Linked DNA regions of Arabidopsis thaliana. The protein of the gene in region 3 interacts with the protein of the main gene of each other region in a pairwise test. Each region holds a gene or a part of one and is shown on either strand. Other genes may lie near its edges.

Evidence for each region.
Region 1: the proteins of CIPK5 (region 3) and SOS3 interact in a two-hybrid assay, tested with the Arabidopsis thaliana proteins (2 studies listed by BioGRID).
Region 2: the proteins of CIPK5 (region 3) and HUB1 interact in binary tests that used the Arabidopsis thaliana proteins (3 or more experiments, as listed by UniProt).

The regions. Positions count from the first base shown.
Region 1 is NC_003076.8:8,237,943-8,246,382, reverse strand, and holds SOS3 (Calcium-binding EF-hand family protein), read left to right. Parts: upstream 1-2,939; 5' UTR 2,940-3,252; exon of another isoform or gene 3,253-6,155; 5' UTR 6,156-6,203; coding exon 6,204-6,294; exon of another isoform or gene 6,295-6,396; coding exon of another isoform or gene 6,397-6,412; coding exon 6,413-6,495; intron 6,496-6,572; coding exon of another isoform or gene 6,573-6,585; coding exon 6,586-6,645; intron 6,646-6,732; coding exon 6,733-6,841; intron 6,842-6,949; coding exon 6,950-7,002; intron 7,003-7,121; coding exon 7,122-7,202; intron 7,203-7,307; coding exon 7,308-7,420; intron 7,421-7,523; coding exon 7,524-7,602; 3' UTR 7,603-7,900; downstream 7,901-8,440. Other genes in the region: AT5G24275 (En/Spm-like transposon), read left to right, coding at 1-112, 212-367, 497-611, 708-924, 1,005-1,142, 1,220-1,433.
Region 2 is NC_003071.7:18,541,714-18,550,608, forward strand, and holds HUB1 (histone mono-ubiquitination 1), read right to left. Parts: upstream 6,940-8,895; 5' UTR 6,535-6,939; coding exon 6,418-6,534; intron 6,238-6,417; coding exon 6,076-6,237; intron 5,993-6,075; coding exon 5,914-5,992; intron 5,795-5,913; coding exon 5,567-5,794; intron 5,469-5,566; coding exon 5,307-5,468; intron 4,577-5,306; coding exon 4,383-4,576; intron 4,308-4,382; coding exon 4,224-4,307; intron 4,099-4,223; coding exon 3,979-4,098; intron 3,883-3,978; coding exon 3,696-3,882; intron 3,606-3,695; coding exon 3,445-3,605; intron 3,363-3,444; coding exon 3,291-3,362; intron 3,078-3,290; coding exon 3,001-3,077; intron 2,628-3,000; coding exon 2,433-2,627; intron 2,322-2,432; coding exon 2,249-2,321; intron 2,157-2,248; coding exon 2,070-2,156; intron 1,994-2,069; coding exon of another isoform or gene 1,958-1,993; exon of another isoform or gene 1,834-1,957; intron 1,832-1,833; coding exon 1,694-1,831; intron 1,609-1,693; coding exon 1,406-1,608; intron 1,312-1,405; coding exon 1,146-1,311; and 4 more. Other genes in the region: AT2G44970 (alpha/beta-Hydrolases superfamily protein), read right to left, coding at 7,286-7,759, 7,942-8,229, 8,310-8,407, 8,493-8,542, 8,654-8,782. UniProt on the Arabidopsis thaliana protein: E3 ubiquitin-protein ligase that monoubiquitinates H2B to form H2BK143ub1. H2BK143ub1 gives a specific tag for epigenetic transcriptional activation and is also prerequisite for H3K4me and maybe H3K79me.
Region 3 is NC_003076.8:3,443,767-3,449,761, forward strand, and holds CIPK5 (CBL-interacting protein kinase 5), read right to left. Parts: upstream 3,513-5,995; 5' UTR 3,141-3,512; coding exon 1,803-3,140; 3' UTR 1,263-1,802; downstream 1-1,262. Other genes in the region: AT5G10920 (L-Aspartase-like family protein), read left to right, coding at 1-126; ASG2 (transducin family protein / WD-40 repeat family protein), read right to left, coding at 5,124-5,205, 5,313-5,440, 5,534-5,604, 5,701-5,796, 5,929-5,995. UniProt on the Arabidopsis thaliana protein: CIPK serine-threonine protein kinases interact with CBL proteins. Binding of a CBL protein to the regulatory NAF domain of CIPK protein lead to the activation of the kinase in a calcium-dependent manner.

The DNA.
Region 1 (8,440 bases), 4.8 Mb from region 3:
CTTTGTCCATGGTTCCTGCAAAGTTCCTACTCTTTCTCTACCTGAGAGGGAGGGTGTCTTTTCTTTCAAGGTTTTCCATTCTCGATTTCCCGAGCTTCATCTGAGCTTAAAGGTAGTAATGTTGTGGACTGAGTTATCTTACAAGTTGCAATATGTTTTTACAATGAGTAGAAAATGCCGGTTGTTGATAACATGTCCTCTTGATTTACAGATTCAGCTTACACCTGCTCAAATACTTCAAAGAGATGAGACATCTTATTCAAGGATGGGTTTAACACCTAAATCAAAGATGGCTTCAACCACATATTCACCGGCTCTCAGTAGCCAAACTGGCCCGAGCCTGAGGGATGTGGCACAGTTCACTGAGGTATATGGCCATCACCATTTAAGCCACAGATATTGATGTTTACATTTCATTTATGCCTAGGAAAAGCAGAACGATTTCTCGAATGATCTAACTTTTGTTTTCCGAGTTAACTTTTGAATTTTCCTGCAGAGCTTTAAAGAAAATCTTATTGGATACAGTGAACACAGAGTGGAAATAGATGAGCGCCTACATTGTTTGGAAGCTGAACAAAACCAGGCTAAGGAAGAGTTGCGTACCTTGCAAGGTAACTATTATCATTTGAAGAAGTTTTGATAACTACGATGGGGATTGAATTTGCATTGATGCTTACCTGCTCATGTTGCCTAAACCTTTATCTCAGCTTCTCTAGAACCTCTCGGTGCTATGTTCCCAGAATGCCTATCCACCAAAGAATCAATGATGAAACAGATTGAAGAGAAGCATCATGACACTGCAGCATCAGTTTTCTGTTGTTTGTACAGAAAGTCACCGCCTCCACAGTCACTGTTTCTGTCAAAGAAAGGAGTATTTGGCCTCGTAGCACTTCTTGGTTCAGTTGCCTCCACCTCCCTTAGCAGGTGACATAAATTTATACCCACAGTGTTACTACTGATCATAGTGGCCAAAACTTTTGTATCTGAAGTCATTTGGTATGCAGGGTGTTATCTGAATATTTGGGAGAAGACATGTTGCTCGCTTTGGTATGCAAATCGGCACAAATTGGACCTAATAATGCTGAGTTTCTCAGGCTTCAGTCCAATCATCGGTTTCATGTTCTATGTCTTGATGCAATCAGGTATTTGTCAACATATCGATAGCTAAACCTTAGAGTCGTTTCTGACAGAATCATAAGTGATCTTTTCAAACACGCAGACCTTGGAAGGATGGACTTTTGGAGAACGATCCTCAGAAGAAATTAGCCATGGATGACCCAAAGCTGCCCGATGGAGATCCCATACCGGGTTTCAAGGGCTATGCCGTGAACATGATTGATTTGGCTCCAGAGGAGCTCACTGTTCAAACTTACTCAGGATACGGGCTTAGAGAGACTTTGTTCTATAATCTCTTTGGGAATTTACAGGTATAGAGACCCAAAAGCAAGTTAAAGCAGCTCTTCCACACATCAATGGTGGTGGTGCAGTCTCTTTAGATGGTTTTATCGCAAAAGATAACGGATTCATATATTCCGGGTGCAGGTACTTGACCTTTTCTTGATCCTTGTATCCGTTTTAGTTCTTGAATTTAAACTGTAAAGCTCAAAACTCGAGTTTTATTCCTTGCATCTGTATTTACTGCGGATGATATGATTTATGGTTTTTGGATCAGCATACCGGAATTTCATTTCCCGATTACACTAAAGGAGGATGAAGAAGTGAAGCTGAGAAAAATGGAAGCAGCAAGAGATAAAGTGAGAATGGCAGCGAAGAAGATAGAGGAGGAGAAGTGTTCAATGCGTAAGGTAGACAAGAAAATGAAGAAAACAAATGAAAAATATCACAATGTCACAAACTCATTAGAGCTAATCCAGTCTCAGTCTTTAGAGTAATGAGAGTAAAACTGGACCTAAAACGATTCAAACAGTTTGTTTACCTGTTGGTTATCGGTTTGGTTTTTGTGTTTTTGGATTAGTCACTTTTGTTCTGAAATTTCATTTTCTTTTTCGGTTAATGGTATTTTGTTCACCAATTTTCTATTTCAAAAGTTTGTTTTTGATCTTGCTGCTATGATCTTTTTAAATAACTAGATTTTTTGAACCATAACGAACATATTATAAGAAAATAGCCATGGTAGCAAAACCAAACTTTTAAAATATCACCAATCCAACAGACAAAAAGAGAATACTAGTGGGCAAAAAGTGAAGGAAAATTTATCATTTCACATCGTAATTTTTTGTTTAATTGAAAAAGTGCAAATGAAATGATGGGTCAACTATAAATAAAATAAAGATTTTGTAATTGAACTAAGAAAATAAAACTCTGTGGATCATGACGAAAGTTAGAAAAGTTAGGCACATGTAGTTTCAGTGTTGTCATGTTTTTTTTTATGTAAGAGTAGGAAGCTCTCTTATAGGACGGGTATGATCAGCTGACAAGTTCCAAACCCTATAAAAAGTGATGTACATTGTGGAATCTGGTAGCTTGACGATGATGAATGTGATATATCTCTTTCATAGTTACGTTTTCATGGTAATTGTTAAAATTTTCATAAACAATCGAGTTCATTTTTATCGGAATCATAATAATTACTACAAAAATGAGCATACGTATAAATGTAATTATCAATCATCTGTAAGAAAATTTGTATTAGTTAGTTTAAGAAATATATTAGCGACTTTTTTTTTGGTCACAAGAGTGTCCATTTTATTTATATCAAACATCAAACTAAGGTCCAAGACAAACACATCAAGCGAAGGTGTAAGACAAAATTTCTTATGAAATATATAATTAACTTTTTTAAAATTGGTGTATTTTCAGAAGTGAATAATATTTTAGGTTATTTTTATATCAAAAACTGCCTCTCATATTTATAATTTTTTAAAAGATTATTTGCCAACAACCACCACAAGTGTCAACAAAAGGAAATTAAAAAGTGAGGTGGGACTTGAAAACAGTACTACTCTAATATTTTTTTTGTTTGTCATAAATAGAAGGTCGAGGAAACATTGCTATATAGTTTATAGTACACGATATAAAAATATATTTTCAAAACCGACATAACATCGGGATCCATCTGCGCATGGACGGACACAAACCTAACCCGATGTTGGGAAGCTCGTCACAAATTTGTTCTTCTATTTAAATAACTCTCATTTTGCCCTTTTCCTCTTCCAACACCATTATTCAATTATTCAAGATCGAGACAAGTGAAGAGTCGACAAGAACATATAGAGATTCATCCATATCTTGGTTAGTTATTTTTGATCTTATTTTTTTTGTTTCTTCGATTCACCATTGCTGAGAAAATCTTTCATCTCTATCCAATGTTTTTTTTTTCTATCACTTCCATGTTTTGGTTTTCTGTTTCGTAATTTTTAGTCCACCTCAAGATATATGTAAAGGAATTCACTGTTTTCCTCTCTCTTTTTTTCGAAATGGAGGTTTATGAGCTTGAAGTTTATCCCATCTTGGGTTTTCTTCAAGAAAGAGTCAAAATATGTCCGTGTTTCCAGGAATCTTCTGATAAGATTTAGTATAATTCGGTTAAATATTAGAAAAAACAAACAAACCAAAGCAAAACCATTCTTTAAAACTGACTCAATTGAGTTCTTTAGTGCTATAGACTGAATTGAACCGTTTGATTTTTGTTTTTCTTCTAATTGAGTGTATAGTTTCCAACATTCCATTAATCATTCAATGGAATTTGGCTTTGGTTTTGGTTTCAATCGAAATCAAGTTATTTCAGATTAGAGATTACAAATTGGATCATATCCGGTTTGGTCCATCTCGGTTCGATTTTGGTGGGTGTTTAATTAGTTGGTAGCCATTAGATATTTAGAACTGTTTTTTTGTTTCTTGTGTCACTTTTGGTGATTTAGAGTCTAAGGAGAGGAGATGGCAAATTTGATTTCTTACTAAAAATCAAAGACCACACCTAATAAACTTATTTATAGCAAATAAATTATAAAAGTCAATAGCTGCAAGTTTTTTTTTTTTTCATTTTTACTATTTAAATACTTATAGAGAAAATAATTAATTTTAAAACGTCATATTGCTGCGTGGCCGGTTTGATTAAACAACATTTTTGTTATTAATTATACAAAAAGATCGCGAGAAGTAAACAACAAGATGAAAATACTGCTTCTAAATTAGATATGTCTAAGTTTGTTTACACGACGTACATTGAGTATGATTACGTATAGATCTAAAAAACAGGTAATGAGAATTTGGAGGCTCCACACATAACAAAATCAAAATGGTCCATAAATTAATACATTAATTAGAAATGTCATAGAAAAGCCAAATGCACCAAAACCTTCCTTAGGCATTAGTTGATCATTATTAATGATTCATTAATTAACCAACTAGGCTCATGTAGTTTTCAAATATATACTATATTAGATTTGAGGTTCCAAGTTCAAGATTCGCTTTGCCTGGTCAAAGACAGGCTCTGATATGTACCAAATTAAATGCTAGTATGGTTGAGGATTTTACGTGGCTTTTTTGGAACAAAACGAGATTTAAATATACTATATAGTCTCTAGATATTAGTGTAAGTGTAATCAAGCCCTTTTTGTTTTATTTATTAGTAAAACACATATAAATTGCCTACATTGAAAAAAGCAACAAAAGGTTGTCTCAATCTCGTGATTATTGATTTTTGATAAAGCATCACTTTTTAATGTGGTCCCATGGCCATTCATATTGTAACTCTTCTCTTAGTTCTCTATCCTTTTCGTTCAAAATCCATTCTAGTCTCTCTTCACTTAAAAATGTACTCACCAAAACAACTTAAATCATGTTGGGTCTGATTGGTAACACAAAACTTTAGCTGTTAGCTGGAGCGGTAAACTGTTACGAAATAGTACAAAACTGTCTAAAAGAGCTGTACAGAAAAGTTTAGAATAAAACTTTTTGTAACGTTTTTGATAAAGTTTTTTTGAATGGTAACTGTCAAAGTTGTACAGTTTGTACAACTTTGATAATGAGTTACCATTCAAAGCCGTTATTTATTCAACCTATCCGGCTTCTTATTATGTTCCTAAACTTACGACATGGTTGTATTACTCGCTTAAATGTGTTCTTGTGATTGAGTTGGACATAGGTTCAAGCTTATTTGGAAAAGAAAAGAAAACATCTTTGTAGATATTTACTAGAGTACATTGACTGATTCATGTATATACGTGGACCAACGTCGATTAGATTTGATATTGATCCGGTATTTGTATTTATGTATTATCTATATGTATGCATATATCATAGGAGACTTTGATCATTTATCTATGTTATTAGGGATAATAAAATTAGGAGTAAACTAATTATCTCTTATATCTATACACCTAGTCATTAGCGTGGCTAATACGGCGACTTGCCTACACCTTCTGTGAATTATATAATATTTGGTTTCATTACGTTTATTGTGAATCATTACTAAATTATAGATTAAATAGGGAAAACGCTGTTTTTGTTCTAATTTTGGCTACTTCTGTTAATGAATTGATTGTTTAGGGAGAGCTTACTAGCTGTCGTGAAAGCTACAACTATTTTAATGGCTAACTTTGCCACCTATATCCTATGTATTTATTATGTAAAAAAAAAAATGTATAAACCAATGACATAATCGTTCGTATAGCCGTCGACTTCTATTGTATATTTGCTCAAACGTCGACCCTTTCAAAATTTTAATATCGATGTTTGTCAAACTCTTGCAGATTTTGATGAATTCGACGCTAGATTGCCTTTAACGAAATTCAAATGTTACATATACATAGACGATATATATATACATGCATTAGATGTACATGATTAGTGCTCATCTACATTAATATTTCATGTATGTATATGTAATTAAATATTGAATTTCATTAGAAACATTTTGGTAATCTCGTGAGTTTGCCAAAATATGTTTACTTTGTTTGAGTTTGACCACAAAAAAAACACTAGAAAAGTCAATAACGTGACAAACTAAACAAGTTGCCTATTATTAATTGCACTCGATCTTAATTGGTTTGTTCTAGGACCATTTTTAGTAGAAGTAAAACCAGCGAAAACGAATGTAGGATTCAGTCGAAGGGTGTTTTATAAAATCATCAAATTATTAGGAACAATGAAATATCTGTAAATTAACCAAGATTATTTGCGTTTGGTTGTAGCGTGAGAAAAGCAAAGGCTAATAACAGTTGAGAGAAGGGTGTGTTTGTATGGGCTGCTCTGTATCGAAGAAGAAGAAGAAGAATGCAATGCGACCACCGGGATATGAGGATCCCGAGCTTCTTGCATCCGTCACGCCATGTTAGTTTTTAGTTTAAAATCTTATTAGTAAGACAATCTTTAAATGTTACAATAGCATGTTGTAGAGTTTGGTAAACTTTTTCAAATTTTATTTTACTTGTAATGGGAGGGACAATAGTCACGGTAGAAGAAGTGGAGGCTTTGTATGAACTGTTCAAGAAGCTAAGCAGCTCAATTATCGATGATGGTCTTATTCATAAGGTTTCTTCTTTCACTCTAAAAGGTCCATATGTAGACAGCAATTAGGTAATCTATATAGCTTAATTAGAGTTTAAAAGTTTGATGTTGCAGGAAGAATTTCAGCTGGCTTTATTCAGAAATAGGAACCGGAGGAATCTCTTCGCTGATCGGGTACATATAGTAACTACCTAGCTAGAACAAGTGACATTATTGAAAACATATGTAAATTTAAACAAAGTTCTGTTTTATAATATGCAGATATTTGATGTATTTGATGTGAAGCGAAATGGAGTGATCGAGTTTGGTGAATTTGTCCGGTCCTTAGGTGTCTTCCATCCAAGCGCGCCGGTCCATGAAAAAGTCAAATGTCATTCTTCTAGCCCCAAAAATTGTTTCATATTCATTCTATGTGAATTTACTTGATATTCTTTTCTTAATTGGCTAACTAACAAAGAATTTTCTCATGAATTTGCAGTTGCTTTCAAGTTGTACGATTTACGACAAACTGGATTCATCGAGCGAGAAGAAGTGAGTCCATTTACGGATACTTTGTTTTGGTACCCTCCAGATTAAACAGTTTTACTCCACTAACGTTTATGTGTGTTGATCTAACATGTATATACCATAATGAATTACATTTTGATTAGTTGAAAGAGATGGTAGTAGCGCTTCTTCACGAATCCGAACTAGTTCTTTCCGAAGATATGATTGAAGTAATGGTGGATAAGGTAATCACTCCCACACCGATGCACATTTGTTTACTAGATATTAATTCCAATACTGAAGATGATATGATAAAGAATTTATAAGGAAATGGTGGTATATATTTGCAGGCTTTCGTGCAAGCAGACCGCAAAAACGACGGAAAAATCGATATAGATGAATGGAAAGACTTTGTATCCTTGAATCCATCGCTCATCAAGAACATGACTTTGCCATATCTAAAGTGAGTTCATAATTTACACCGTGACCAACTTTGATCCAAACCAACTGCTTTGATTGTTGCATTGAATCAAATTGACTAATCAGAAGATTCTTGGTAAATGTAGGGACATAAATAGGACGTTTCCAAGTTTCGTTTCATCTTGTGAAGAGGAAGAAATGGAATTGCAAAACGTATCTTCCTAATATAAGCCATGCAAGGAAAGATAAATATACATAAAACGAATATTTTTGTACAATATCTTAAAAGAGGAAGATAGAGATGTAAGCTAGGATTTGGAAATAAACCGATCTTGATAACGATATTGGACTTGCCTTGTGTACTGTATATATTTAGTTATTTACATAGCGACTCTCCATCTCACATACATAATTACTAATTAAATATTTACAAATCTAGTCTATTATTGCTTCATTGTTGTATATACCAAAATATATGATCCACCTTTTGCGGATATTCATATTTTTGTTACATGAAAATATTCGTGTTTTTTTTAGAATAACAATAAAAAATTTGTACACACATGGTTTATTATTGTAGATAATATTAATATATATCAAACGAAATTTTAAAAGTAGATGATTTATGAAAATAATTTTTGCTTATTTTAATTAGTTCTTGAGTAAAATTATTTATACATTCTAGATATTAAATAATGTTGAATTTTTAATTGAATAAACACTTTATTATATATAAAAATTGAAAAACAAAGCAAGCCGAGGAATCTCTCTCTAATCTATCTCCAAGACGGACCAAACCAGTTTTAGTTCTATCTCTCAATCTCTCTGATCAGCTCCATTTCCAATGTAAGCCCACCAACTTCAACTCTAATCTCCATCTTCCTCTTCCTCTTCAAATTCGTTTAGTTCAACAAGTTCCCATCTTTCCAGTGTCAATCGACGATTCCTTTTTCCGTTAATACGCATGTATTTGATTCTTATTGCTGAGGAATTGAAGAACCATTTTGATCATTGTTGTACCCATTGATGTCAAATTCAAGATATAATTGATTACTGTTTGTTA
Region 2 (8,895 bases), on a different chromosome or scaffold from region 3:
GTTCAAATAAATTAACTCTTTCTTTTCACCTCTCAGCCATTTTTTTAAAAGAAAGAAAAGAGAAAAAGAACATGTGCGGCAAATACCAATGATCATGTCTTGCGGGAAGAGGAAACACTTGCAATACTTGAAATGTAAAGGGCTAAAGGAGCAAGTATTATTGGGAAAACATGGTATTGAGGCCATCTAAAATACTTTTACGGTACATTCCGAAGTTGTATGTTAAAGCTCAAAATTGATAATGCATGAAATGATTTTAGTCTTTTTCTTACATTTTCAACTATTGGTTTTAACCCACTTTTACAAACCGTAGTTACAGAGAGAAACACTAGTACTAAATTCACTTATAATATTTAAGGTCATTGGAGATCCACCAAAAATACTTGTAATTCCTACCTAGGATTGTGAAAGACCATCTCGAATCATGATCCCAAGGATCGAAGTCTTTGGAGATGCCAACAAACAAATTGGATTGCAATTCATCGCAAATGGTACAAATATCCAAAATCTTGCCTCGTGTTTTCTAAATTGAGAATCTTAGAACACTACATCACAAACGTTTGGATCATACACAAATGTAGAACAAAAAAGAAGATTTAATTGAAAAATCAATTGCGGAAACCATGTTCCAAATTACAAACAAAAAGGAAGTATCACCAAAGACATAAACCCTAACAGTGTTACCTATTCTCTATCACATTATCAAAATCCCAAAATGGTTCCTCAAAAACTCTGATTTGCCATATCCAATTATTCTTCATGACCTTTCCCAATAAAAGAGAGTAATAATTACAGAGAGATCTAATGTTTATCCTATATGAGAAAAAGTACCTGTGTGTGTTTCACAGTTTCATCATACATCATCATGCTCAGAGTGTTTTGGTGCGGTCATATGTAGATAGGTTTAATATCATTTGGTCCAAAACTTGCTGAGCATGTTGGACACTTCTTTTGTCGAGTTCCTGTGAGCTTTTGCACACATGGGTTGCAGAACAAATGGTAGCACTTCGTAATCACCACCTAGTTTGTTAAGCCAAAGACCAAAACCAATCAGCAATCACGCACGCAGTTGACTAAAAGATTCAAGGGATCATGATTTGAGCGTCTTGCTGAGATCTAAATAATGGAGAGCAGTGACTCTTTACCTCTTTTGGGCGATCGTTGCAGGCCTTACACTTCAGAATTTCTTTAAATTCACTGAGTTCTTGTCGGAGCTTTTGAATGGCCGATGATCCTTCTATGAGAGACCGAAGACGAGAAACTTTCTTTTTGGCTATTTCCATTTCCTCCTCTATCCTTCTCCTATTGAACCTGATATACGCAGAAAAGAACGATACCTTCATCACTAACACTTGTTTATGACTATTAATTAGGATAGAGAAGATGGAGGGAGCAATTGATTTACCTTTCAATCTCCAGTTCCAGTTCTAATGCCCCATAATCCAGCCGACTTTGCTCAACTTTAGAATGGGACTCCTCCAGCCTTGACCTAGCTTGTTCCAAGCCATTCCCGATGTCTGCACGTTTCTTTTGCAGATTTTCAAGAGAAACAGACTTTTGATATTTATCTTCCGCTAGTTTCTGAAACTGATCTGTGCAGAACCTCAACTGCAAGGAAAAAGAAAAACACCTTAGTCAAAGTCTCACAATAAGGAGGCTTACAATTTGAGCATACGGGCACACACAGATATACCTGATCTTCAATTCTTGATGATTTCTTGGATAGGAAACTGGCATATGCACTGCCTTGCTGTATATCCTTATCCATGATGTATTTATCGATAAGCAGAGTATCTTGCATCTGCCTAGAAGTTATGCCTTCCAAGAAAAGCTGAAACAACAATGGGCGAGCAAAAAATTACATCTCATTGTCTGATCCAAGTAACAAACCATCCTTTTTTTCATGATATTCTAGCAAAACATACAAGGTATAACCACAGAAATTGGTCCATGCCCATTAAAACGATCCATCAATCTCTGAATAAATGTAACACTACTAGATATAAGAGTAAGTGAGAAGTCACAGAGATAGATCAGATAGAGGAACTAGAAGAGTTTGGACACGATACCTTGATGTTATAGTCATCCCTCTCTGTAACTTGAAGCAAAAGCTGTTGGTTTTGCGGTACAATGTCCTCATAGGCACTTCCAATTGTCTAAAAGAATATAGTTACTGTAAATCGATACGCAACATCAAGGTTTTTAAAATATGTTAAGAACAAAGAAACACGAAATTTCATAAGCCAACCTGTATTTCAGAAAGATATGTTCCATGTTCTTCATGTTTAGATTTCAAGATATCAGAATGCTTGGCGACATCCCTGAAACAGAAAAGACTTATCCTTGTCAAACAAAAAACTCTCAAAGAATTCCTATGGAAGAACTGCGTGATTGCATCTATAAATTGCAGACTTCTACTTATACTTATTTACCTTTTACAATCATCCATTTTCTGCCTTAAATCAGCAATCTCTGCTTCCGCAGCAGCCAACATTTGTTGGGAAACGGCTTCAGCTTCATTTGCTGCCTTAACGCGCAACTCCAGATTTTGCTCATCAAGGGATGATTTCAAACTCTGAACATGAGCCCAAGCCCTGTACTCCTGTTCCTTGGCTTCAGCTATGTCCCTGCCATAGCACATTATCGACAGTGATGCTTAAGGCAATATACCAACCGCATTATAATAATGTGTTCAGTCAAGATAAGAAGATAAACAAATCCTAACACATCCAAAAGAGTTTTTATCAGATGGAACTGTAAAAATAGATCAGATATTAAAAGCTGTCATGGATAAATTGAAAATGTGAACATAAGTTTCTTCAGAAACGCAAGAAAAATTAACAACAAACTTTCAGCAAGATTCGATAGTTCAGTCAGAAGGCAAGATTAATAACAGCACTTGTTGTTATACTATATATTTGGACAGTGAGAAGGGGAAGATAAGGAAACTTTTCTCTAAGAATTGAAATCTTAGATATCGTTATATATAGTTGTGCTTACCTCGCATCAGTGGACTCACGTTTATACATGTCCAGAAACAACTTTAACTCCTCATGACTGTTCTTCAAATCACAAACCTGCATGACAGACTCCAATCAATTGAAAGTAAAGAACATAACAACTACCACTTTGCCAACCAAAGACATTTAACAAGATTTAAATTGCTAATCCGCCTTTTCACTATACTTTTTCCAAGAAATAATGCAAAGTAACAATAACCAATATGAACACTGTCAACATATATAAGTCATGGGCAGTACACTGAAAAAGGTAGATACATTGCATCATACCGTAGCATTCAGGTCACCTAACTGAGAAGCATAATCAGCTGATCTCAATTGCAATGCTTCATACTCTTTTGTCTGTTCACCAATTAAGCTTATTAAGTAAGCATAACATAAACTGTAACAATAAGCATCAATCACTGTTCACATTATTTCCCACCTTCCTACATAGAACCCCAGAGAGGGACTGGACATCAGCCCGCAGAGAATGAATACCTCCAGCAGTCTCTTTATAATTGTTTAATTGACTACGCATGGAACTCATTTCCTCGGGGAACGAAGAAATTAATGCCTTCATATCTGCAAAGATTTCTTTTCTACCTGACATACGAATAACTTAATCAGACTCCAAAGTGAAACAGGTGTGGGTGGGAGATACAGAATTGGAAGTCAAAGTAATCAATTTGTGACCTCGCTCTCTTGATATATTTCCCAGCCTAGTCTTGATTCGCATTTTTTCATCCAGTTGTTTCTGTATCTCCGAATCCAAAGAAGCCATTCTAGAATCAGTAACAGCAGACGTCTTTCGAGAAACATCACCTAGTTCATTTTTTATATTTATCTCCCTTTCCTTCCAGACTATACTATCTTTTTCAACCTGAAATTTTCGAATGGAGGAAAGCTTCACAACTAAATATACAACGTAAATTTTATAAACATAGATACAAAATGAAAATCGCAAACCAGATATAACCTGCAGTTTCTCAAGTAAAGCCATATACTGGAAAACTGCTTCTTTGGATTTTTCTAGCTGGTCTTTCAAAGAAAGGCAGGCTTGAGAAGATGAGATGCACCTCACAGACTTTGACTTGTTCTGTTAGAAAACTCTTACATCAGTTTTAGCAATAGGAAGAGGCTACCATTCCACAAATTTTCATATATCAAACCCCATACAGAGACAAACTAATACAAATACCCCAATTGGATCAATACACTGACCTGTAAATTACTCATTTTTCCAAGCATCTTTGTCCTCTCCTCATGAAGATTTTTTAGCTGTTGTAGCCTGCCTGAAGCCAGGACCTACCGAAACCAGGCCGTTATCAACCCAAAACTTAAAGAATTACCAATGAAAACAAATCAGAAAAACAAAGATACCGTTAACTCTTTCAGAACTGTTTCCATGTCTTGCAGATCCCTTTGTTTATCCCTCTCCCGATCACTGGTAGCAAGCTTATTTCCAAGACTCAACACTGGGAAAAACGCCCCAGCTGTTGCATCCCTTTCTGCTCTCAATGCTGACAAGTCACCATTACACTGCTGAAGCTCCACAACCTCATCCTCTAGCTCCCCTTCGAATAGACCAAATAAAGTATAATATCAGTTGATGCGGTAGTCAAGAAGCATTAATCCAAAAGCAGGCATGTAAACTAAAATAAATTTTAACTCTTTGAATTTCTTAACTGTGGCTACTGTCAGTATTGAAATCTTACATCTTAAGGTAAACGGGTAATTTATCAACAAAATTAAGATGCTTCACTTATGTGGATGTATGTCATTCTCAAAGAATTACCAGCTTCTCTATCTCCTAAAATCTACCGAAATATATAAATATGGGTAAATGGTATAAAAGAAAACTAAGAAGTTCATGTCTCAGAAGGGTTTTGTACACCCATCAGTTCGCTAATGAGTATATCTTCCACAGCTACATGTCTTCTTAACAGCTGGCTCTACCATAGAGGTTTTCTTCCAGTCTTAATGTATCTCTCTCTTCAATCTTAATCTCTATGATCTAAATCCAATCATGGCTATTAAACAACTGAGTAGTGCTGGACATAAATACACAGGCGTGGAATTGGAAGATTCACAATTTGATCACCTCTACTTACACTTATCCTCATCAATCAAAAGCGAGATATGATTTCAGTAGCTTTTCATGTATATAGGACCTTTTTTTGTCAAGCCACGTATATGATTACAAATTTACATTTGATGCATGAATACTATATCCATATAAACAATGCCAATTAAAAAATCCATTTTAACAGTATATAGTCGAGTGAGACGAGACTAAGTAGCTACCTCTTATTCGTTTGAGGTCTACTCTAACTTTAGCATCAGCATCGCGATGACTCTGCAATTCTCTAGAAAGTGATTTGAACTTCACAAGTACATCATCTAGATCCCCTCTGAAACTTTTAATTTCTGATTCCAACTCACTCAGAGCTAGCTGACCGCACAAATCTAGAAAAGAAAGCAATTCCACATAGGACCTGGGTTAATACTAAAATGTTATAAAGGCCATAACAAGAGCTGACAATTGATCGCAGTGGAAGTCATACCTTTACCAAGATTGGTTCTGAGAACTGTGGGATATAATTCATCCTTCAGACACCTCAAATCCTCTGTCGCGGCTACTAGATTATACAAGGTTTGCGTCATCTGGCTTGACGTATTCACTCCATTTTCTTCCATCTGATTCGAGCAGATATTGGATGAGGAGCTCTCAGTAGCACCAGTTTCAAGTAGCCGGTTGATGAAATCGTTTTTCACGGCTGGAGAAGACCCATCTGTGTAGCAATTTAAAGTTAACCTTTCAAAAAGTCATATTTGTAACATATAAAACCAAATCTAAACTAGATCCTAGCACTAACAGAACGAAGAAAAGGCGGGCTTAAGTTGTTCATACCCTCCTTGTTTACAAACCTATGAGCTCCGCTGCTTGAATCACTCACACGAACAGAGCATGATTCCACTGAAGCTGTAAGCTGCTATACAAGCATTAATTAGTTCTCTAGAAAAAGAGATCTAATCCAAGTTCTATTAGAATCGAAAGCAAATTCAGTGTTACCTTTTCCCAAGACTTATGGACAGTCTTCAAACTGGAGTTGTATGGTAATTGTTTTTCCTTGATCTGAGAGAGTTTATCCTCAAGAATAGAACACTCAACCTGCTGAGCCTCTAGCTTTTGTGATAGCTTAAGATTTTGGAACTGAAGAACTGCAGTATCAAGCTGTATCAAACGAAAACAAACTCCTTAAGAGAGAGAATCCCAATTCCAAAATAGACCAAATTCGAGACAAAAGACATTCAGTATATGAATCTCTAATAGCTGGAAAGCTATGATTGATTGGATAAGTAAGAGAATAGATGTAAAGGGCATGCACAAGGGGGAGATGAAGAAGAAAGAAACCTTGTCCTCGGAGGAGGGCCAAAAGAAAGGCTGTTTCTTTACGGCGGCTGCAGCTTCAGAAGGTGATATGGAGCTAAAGTGACGCCTTTTACGGTCAGGCTCGCCTGTGCTCGCCATTGAAAAACCCTAGAATCGCCAATTAACAGGATTAAGCCTTGTCTCACATCACCATCAGATTGAGTTTGAGGAAGCTCGAATACAAATCCCCCAAACCCAATGAGAAAACCCTAAACGATCCAAAGCTACGTGATTGCTTTAACCGAGGTAATTCCAATTGCTCCGCAGCTCTCCTTCGGAATAAAAAAAAACAAACAAAAAGAAACCCTAATCTCACAGGTCTTCCAAATTCGATCAGACTCTAATGCTATCAAACGCAAACAGACTTTGTCTGATCTTTGTGCGACTTAGATATTACAAACCGAGAACACACACAGCACTCACAGAAACAAAAACAAGAGTGAAAAGAAAGAGAGAGAGAAGAGAGAGTTGAAGTTAATTCGAGTACGATGGCGTAATTTTGTGAACATCTGGAGGGCACTTTCGGGAATTACATATTCCACTTACAGTATATAAGCATCGGCCGTCCATAGAATCTCCAACGATCCGAGCCGCACGATCACGGTTCGTTAAAGGAATAGAGAGAAAAACATAACTAATCTTCTAATAAAAATTAATCAACAATAAAAGAAAAAAAAAGAAGCAAATTAAGTAGTCTTATAAATATAAAATCTACCGTTTGTAATAATTTTTTTGTTATCGTGTGATTCAAACCTGATAGTAAATTAGTAAGAAATAAAACAAAAAGATAGAAACAAATACAGTAATTTGAAGTCTCAAGACGAAAGTAGAAATAAAACAATTTGGTTTATCAATCGATTTTTGTTGCGAGTTTTTGTTGCCTCTCTTGCTCAACTTGGACAAGCAAAGTTAAGAGCGCTTCACAAACTTGAGCAGCATCAGCTTCTAAAGGAACCTCGTTCAAGGAAGAGTACACCATCCAGGCATGGTCTAGTTTACGTTTGGGTCTAACAACCACAGAACCAGGAACCTCTGCGTCACAGCAAGTCACTAGCCCGTCACTCTTTTCACCGTATCTGACTTGAAGTAGCTGAGCGCAAGCAGCCATTGCAGCACCAAGTGGCATTACCACTGGCAGTTTTGCGGCTTGGTTTGTCAGAGGAAGTTCAGCGTGTGCTACGTGTGATAAAGTGGATAGAACCGCTGGGCTAATGCTAGCTTCTGTGCGGAATGAAACCGTGGGGAGTTCTCGGGGAAGCGGATGATTCTTCAAGAATTCTTTTCTTCTCTCGTATGTTAAATCTTCCAATGCTTGAATGTCACCCTTCACAATGTTCCAAGGAATTCATCAGAAAGATCAGCAGAGCAATAGAATCCAGAAACAAAATAAGTTTTGGTTTATCCCTAGTTTCTCGGTTCCACCTAACTAAGGATTTTAACAGGCAATCACAAGAAGCTGATATAATGCAACTGAAATGACTTTGTTAGATCAGGAATGTTGCAAACCTTTATGACTTTGGAGATTAGAATCTCCATCATCTTTCTCAAATTGACGTAATCACCTAGTTGTCCTTCACGGAGGATATCTGTAGCTATTGGGCTTCCACCATATGGACTCTGCGCCAGTACCAACCCAGCGACCTTATCCTTTAGTTCAGGCCAGTATAGTGATAAAGCAGCAGCTGCATCTATGCCTCCTTTGCTATGCCCAAGAAGTAGAACCCGCTTATTAGATCCCCAACAGAGTTCCTCTATGTATTCCTTTATCTCTCTCGCATTTTTCTCAACCGAGGACTGATATATAAACATTTCTCCATATATTAGTATGCTATACACCAAATGTAACTGTACTAAGTTGAGTTAGTTATGATTACCTCGCTGTGAATCTTCGCAATATGACACGCCAAACCCATCTTTGAGAATTTCGTTTTCGTATCCACAAAATATAGAGGTCCATGATTGCTGAAAAGACCTAAAAAAAATTCAACTAATTTTGAGAGTCCTAATATACAGTAATGTAGTTTAAGTGGCTGGCAGCAAAGAATAAGAATTGCTACCTGGAACCAATAAGTACACCACTGTATTTGGAAGCCTGTGTACACCATGCCTGGATATAAAAACCAGATCAACGCAGCCATTTAGTAAAAAACAGGATGTTAAACAGCATATTGAAAAGGCCACAAAGCACACAAAACATGCAACTACAACCAATTCATACCCGATGTCTTCCAGAATTTTATTGAACCTATCAGTTCCATCTTCAACAGGAGGCATCTCCGGGGCACGCTGTAACCATCCTATGTCATCTGCCGAGCCACGAACAGTCCTCCGTGCCCGCTCAATGAGCCTGATTGAATTAAAATAGATCAATCACCCAAATGCTGAAAACTTGACAAGAAGTAGTAGTGTATAGAGATTATTGTATTGCTTCAGTTTCACATATTCATAGTATTAAGATTT
Region 3 (5,995 bases):
GTGTTTGGATTTTTGGGGGTTGAAAATTCAGTCAATAAGTTCAGTTCCTATGGGTCAACAGGATCAAACTGTGTTGCTGAGCAACTTGGCTACTGGGTCAACAAGCTCAACATTACTTCCACCTGATCCGGACCAAACCATTAGCAAAAGATTTGATGACGTTTGTGTAATTTTCATATTTATTGAGGATTTTTGTCGTTAATACCAGGAAGATTTCAAGCAACATGTTGCAGCGGTTTGAGAAGACCCACAAACAAAATAAGTTTTGTAATATTTGAAATCGAGATAATGTGGAAGAGTTTGGTATTCTTCTCATTTCAATGCTCTCTACAATATCAATCTTTTTATATTCTACAATGAGAAGAAGATTAACTCCAAACTTGTGGATATTTGCCCAAAGCTTAAGAAGTTGGATCAAGGGAAGTGCATTGGAGTTAGGTTGTGATTTGAACATGTCTTTAAATTTCAAGAATACTTTGTCAATGCAGACTTCAATTTTCATTTGAGTTTTTTGAATTTTTGTTTTCTTCTTTTTCAAACCCAATTATTGTTCAGAAATACAACAACAAAAACTAGTGGATTGCATTTGGATGTGATTTTTTTTGAACATGGGGGAGGACCACACATGACATGACACACCCTCTTCCTTAGGAGGTGCAACATCTGTTACAACTTACAATATCCTTTTTATGTTCCAAACAAAATGTCATCCTCCATTTTATTATGACCAAACATAAAGTGACACAAATACGTACCAGTAATAACCTCATTGGTGTTTCTCTTCTCCTAAAATAGTTAAATCTAATCTTAACAAAAAACACTCGATTTAATACTATCCATTTGATGTTGGTGGAGTCACTTTCTGACTGTGACACAACCCTTGTCCTAAAATCCCATGTTAGCCACTGATTGATCCTTTTTTTAGATTATTGGTCGGATATTAATTATGGTGAAAGCTCCATTTCTTTCTTAATGGATTGAGTTTACTGGTGAACCTCATTACTCTTGTTATCTTTTAATCCTTGTTTTTGTCTGTATCCATTTTAACTTTTTGGGGGATTTTTCTTTCACTTAGTATAACTTATACGCCATTAATTCTTACAGGATTGGGTTTCTTCGAAACTTCTTGCATGATGTAGTCGATATTTTTTGTTCTTTAGGTTATTACATTATTATGCTTCTAAAAAAATTACAAAATATGATAGTAAACATATGGTATGAAATGGGTAATTTTGATAGACTGAATACACATAAACATACTCATTTATGCAGAAAATTCAGATTAGCATTATCTTCATCCCATCAATCACATCTAATCTTCTATCTTACGATCATGCCCAGCTACAATTCAAAGTTGGACATGTAGAAGAAAACTAATGAAAAAAAGTCGTCGGATCCCATAAATAAATTAATTTGTTGTGACTTTGTCCTCTCCACTAACTATTTGAACTTCAAAATTCAAATGATTTGACTTCATAACAGAAGGTGAATCTTTTCGAAGTCTCTGAGAAACCACACGTGTCGGTCTTCTAAACCACAACCCGACTCATAGTCATTTTCGTTTTCGACTTAACATACCCTTAATTGTCGATTAATTTAATCTGAACCCAAATTATTTATTCATTTGTACCTAAAAACAACACAATTAGGTTCAATTAGAAGCAAAATCAAAATCCTTACCAAAGAAAAAGAAGTAAAACCAAAATTTTATTAAACCAAAGAAAATTTGGGTTCAATGTAACAGTTCTTAGTTATACTACGTTAACCGATAACCGGTTAAATCAGAACCAAAAACTACTGATTCAACAATCCTCGGAAGAAGTGTTATTATTATCACCGTGCCATGACCAGACGATGTCGTTTAACGCCGGCCGTACTTCTTCTTCGTATAACCTATCGTACTCCAAAGTATCTCCCGCCGATTTGCAAAACTCCACCACCGATATCTCCGGCGCTACTTCAAACACTTCCGCCGTCATCGACAACCGTCCTTTTCTCCCTTCCGTTTTCCCTTCCATCTTCACTTTAAAATCCTTCGTTCTCTTCACTTTCATGTTCATCTCCTTCGTAACCGTTTCTATCTTCTCCATTACCTCCGTCGCCGACGACCGTGACGTAAACACCGATTGCACTTTCCTCTTGCTCTCGAACAAGCTCGATAAGTCAAATCCGGAAGACATCGAGGATATGAATTCGAAAGCGTTGAAGAATTTCGGCGATATCGGCTCTGTTTGATTTTCACAATCTCCGTCTTCTTCTTCTTCTTCGTTGTTTTTGCTGCTTTGAGAACAAATCGGTTCGTCGATTTTGAAAGCTAACGGCGGAGTGAAGTTTTTCCGGAGCCAAGGCGTTCTCATAATCGCCGGAATCGAGATCCGTCGATCTGGATCTACAACGAGGAGTTTCGAAATCAACCTCCTCGCTTCCGGAGAAAACCACGGCGGAAATTCAAAATCCGCTCTGAAAATCTTCCGATACATATTCATCAGATTCTCATCTTGAAACGGCAAACATCCGGCGAGAAGAACATACAAAACGACGCCGCACGACCAGATATCAGCTTTCGCGCCGTCGTATCCTTTCTTCTTTAATACCTCCGGCGCAACATACGCCGGAGTTCCACACTGCGTATGAAGCAATCCGTCTTGAAGAATCTGTTCCGGTAACGCAGATAATCCGAAATCGGAGATTTTCAAATCTCCATTCTCATCTAAAAGAAGATTCTCAGGTTTCAGATCGCGATGAGAAACGCCTCTACTATGGCAATAATCAACGGCTGAGATCAATTGCTGGAAATATCTACGAGCAGCGTCTTCGTGTAACTTACCTTTAGAGATTTTGCAGAAAAGCTCGCCGCCTTTAACGAACTCCATGACGAAGAAGATCTTGGTCTTCGTAGCCATGACTTCTTTCAATTCAACTATGTTGGGATGACGAACGAGCTTCATGATTGAAATCTCGCGTTTGATTTGTTCCATCATTCCAGGTCTCTTCATTACTTGATCCTTGTTGATGACTTTGATTGCGACGCACTCGCCGCCGATGATCTCTTTGCCGTAATAGACTTTGGCGAAGGTTCCTTTGCCTAATAACCTTCCCATCTCGTACTTTCCGAACAGAACTCGCCGTTCTTCCTCCATTTGATATTTACACCGACTAGGGAAAATGAAATAGTGGAAGAAGAAGATGAAGAAGGAGGATTAAGAAAAGGTGGTGTTGAAGCATGAAGTTTGATTAGTATTTTGAGTACATGAGGATATATTACTCTCATAGGTGAAGAAGTAGAGCAATTCCATGGAATATGGGAGAGGAAGAGAAATGAGGAAGAAGAAGAAGAAGTGTGCAAATGAATCACAAACGCAGCTACGTGGTGTCCTCTTATTATATACTGAACACTCTTTGAATTTATAGACAAGGTGATAAGCCACTCACAAAGTCACACATGTCACACTGCAATAACTTTACTTTTTCTTTGGAATTTGTTTTTTATATGGAAAATAAGTTTTTTTTACAAAAAAAAAAAAAAAAAAAAAATGGTCATCATTTAAAACATATTGTTTGCAGTTAAAAAAATTATGGGTACTAGATTTTGTTTTTGTTTTGTTATAGTGTTGTACATAAAGAATTTTGTATAACCTTCTATATTTCTACACACGGCATATTGTTTGCTAGATTTTATTCTTAAGAACAACATTCAGAACAATGTCTCTTGTGTTTTTTCCTTTCTTAATTTGTTAATTACTTGGACAAAACTAGATGCTAACAATTATTTCTAAGACTTTGGGGGTCATATGTATGTTTTTTTTTTTTTTAATATTCTCTATTACCTTATAATGTTAAATCATTTTTGTATAACGTAACACTTAAAATTTTCTATTATTTTACAATACACCAATTTCTAGAAGAAAATAAAACAGTGTCAAAATAATAATCAACGTCAAAGGAAATAGGCAATTTAAATAGGTAAATATAACACAGTATGTGTAAATAACATAACCTAAACTTTAGATTATGTTATCATCAAATAAGATTATGCTGTTTGAATGCTATGATTTTCTATAATTCTATTAAATTTTACTTTTTCACGAATAAATATCGTCGGAGAAAAAGGAATAGGTAATCAATTATTGACAGAACTTCCTTAAAATAATGTCAATAATTCTCTCCAACGGTCTAATGCTTTTTGTCCCCCTTATCTTATGTGGTGGTTCCACCCAACCTTTCGTATAAAAAATTTAAATTATTTTAAAATCATTTCATAAACTAGCATACAAATCAAGTTTCTGGTGAGTAGACCATGAAAATTCTAATTAACATATCCATTTTTTTTTAAAAACAAAAATTCAAAATCATTTACAATATTAATTTGTTTCTAAATCATATAGCTCAATTCCATTTTTATCATCAAAAGATAAAAGATTATTAGCCAAAACTTAATGCACGGCTAGCTAATCGTTATTTAGGGATGTCATGTCACTATCTTCAAAGTAGGGAGATCTATTGTGTTCCACCAAGGAATGTTTTAGGATCTAGTCTACTGATCAGGAATTAGACTACTTTACTAACCATTAATAACACCATAAAAATATAACTAATAATTGTATACAAAAAAACACGTATGCGGGATTAGTCCAAATAGAAGCATACCTTGTCCAAATACATACTAAAGTCAGGGGCAGACCCACGTTATGGCTTGTGGAGGCAAGTGCCCCCAGCAGCAATATATAAATAGGTAAAAAAGTTTACACTAGACAAGATTAATTAAAGCAGCAAAGTGGTTAGAGCTTCCTCCACAAGTCTATATTAAAATAACGAGATTGGACACATAACACATACAGCCTTATGCTGTCTACTAAACGCGACAGAAATGAAAAAACAATGTAAAATAACGATGAATATTCACATTCAAAAGAAGAAGCCAATATCAAACTGTACAACAACAACAACAACAACAAAAAAAGCTTTTAGAAGGAAGCTATGCATGAGTTTTACAGAGAGAAAGCTTTTGCTACATATGAAACCTAATCAAACCTTATTATTCATTATTCATATTCAAAACCATTGTTATTCCACCATCACCTTCACAAAGCAAGCTTATTATACCTCTACAGTTCCCTCCTGCTTTAGCTCTGAGTACATTCAAATGGGTGAAAGTTTCCTTCTGCAAATTCTTGCATCCTAAACCTTTGCATTAGCTCCACAGACCTGCAAATGAATCATCAATGTACCAAATCATCAAACCCATTTTGTGTACTCTGAAACCGCCTTGGAGCTTTTATATTAACTCAAACCACCTATCCCAGAAAACTTACAGAGGATTCTCTCGATTGCGGCTTAGCTTCTGTTGATTACTCTCCATTACTTCCACTACATTGGCGGTTGCTGGTCCAGCTGATCCTCCTGCTACAATTGATGGGACTGATGCGGTTGGGCTCCATATCTGTACACATATTTTTACATGCAAATGTTAGTTTTAGAGATCTTACACGAAATGAAAACCAAACCCTGAAGACAGCTTTGTGTGCCTGCTTACCTTTATTGTGTTATCAATTCCACTCGTTGCTACAACACTATCAAACGGATGGCATTGAATGCAGTTCAAAACTAGAGACGAAAGATGATTCTTTTAGCCAACTCGAAATTCAATGAAAAAAAAAGATACTTATGTAATGGATAAAATGTGAAAGGAAAAAAGATCACCTGATTCATCGCCAACGAGCACTTTCATAAGCCTTCCAGTCTGTTTCTCCCATATAAACCACCGACCGTCATCGCTTCCACTTGCAATATATTCACCTGAAATTTGGTAATAAAATGTTCACAGAAAGTCGATACCGTATTGAATTTCAAATTTTATAAACCGCTTTTTCTACTAGAATGGAAAATTGCACTCAGATAACATGAAAGTTGCAACCCCAAGAAACTTACCTCTCTGACCAAGAAAACTGGCCTGCTTAATATCAGTTCCTACGTTACAGTGGCCAACATATCTACG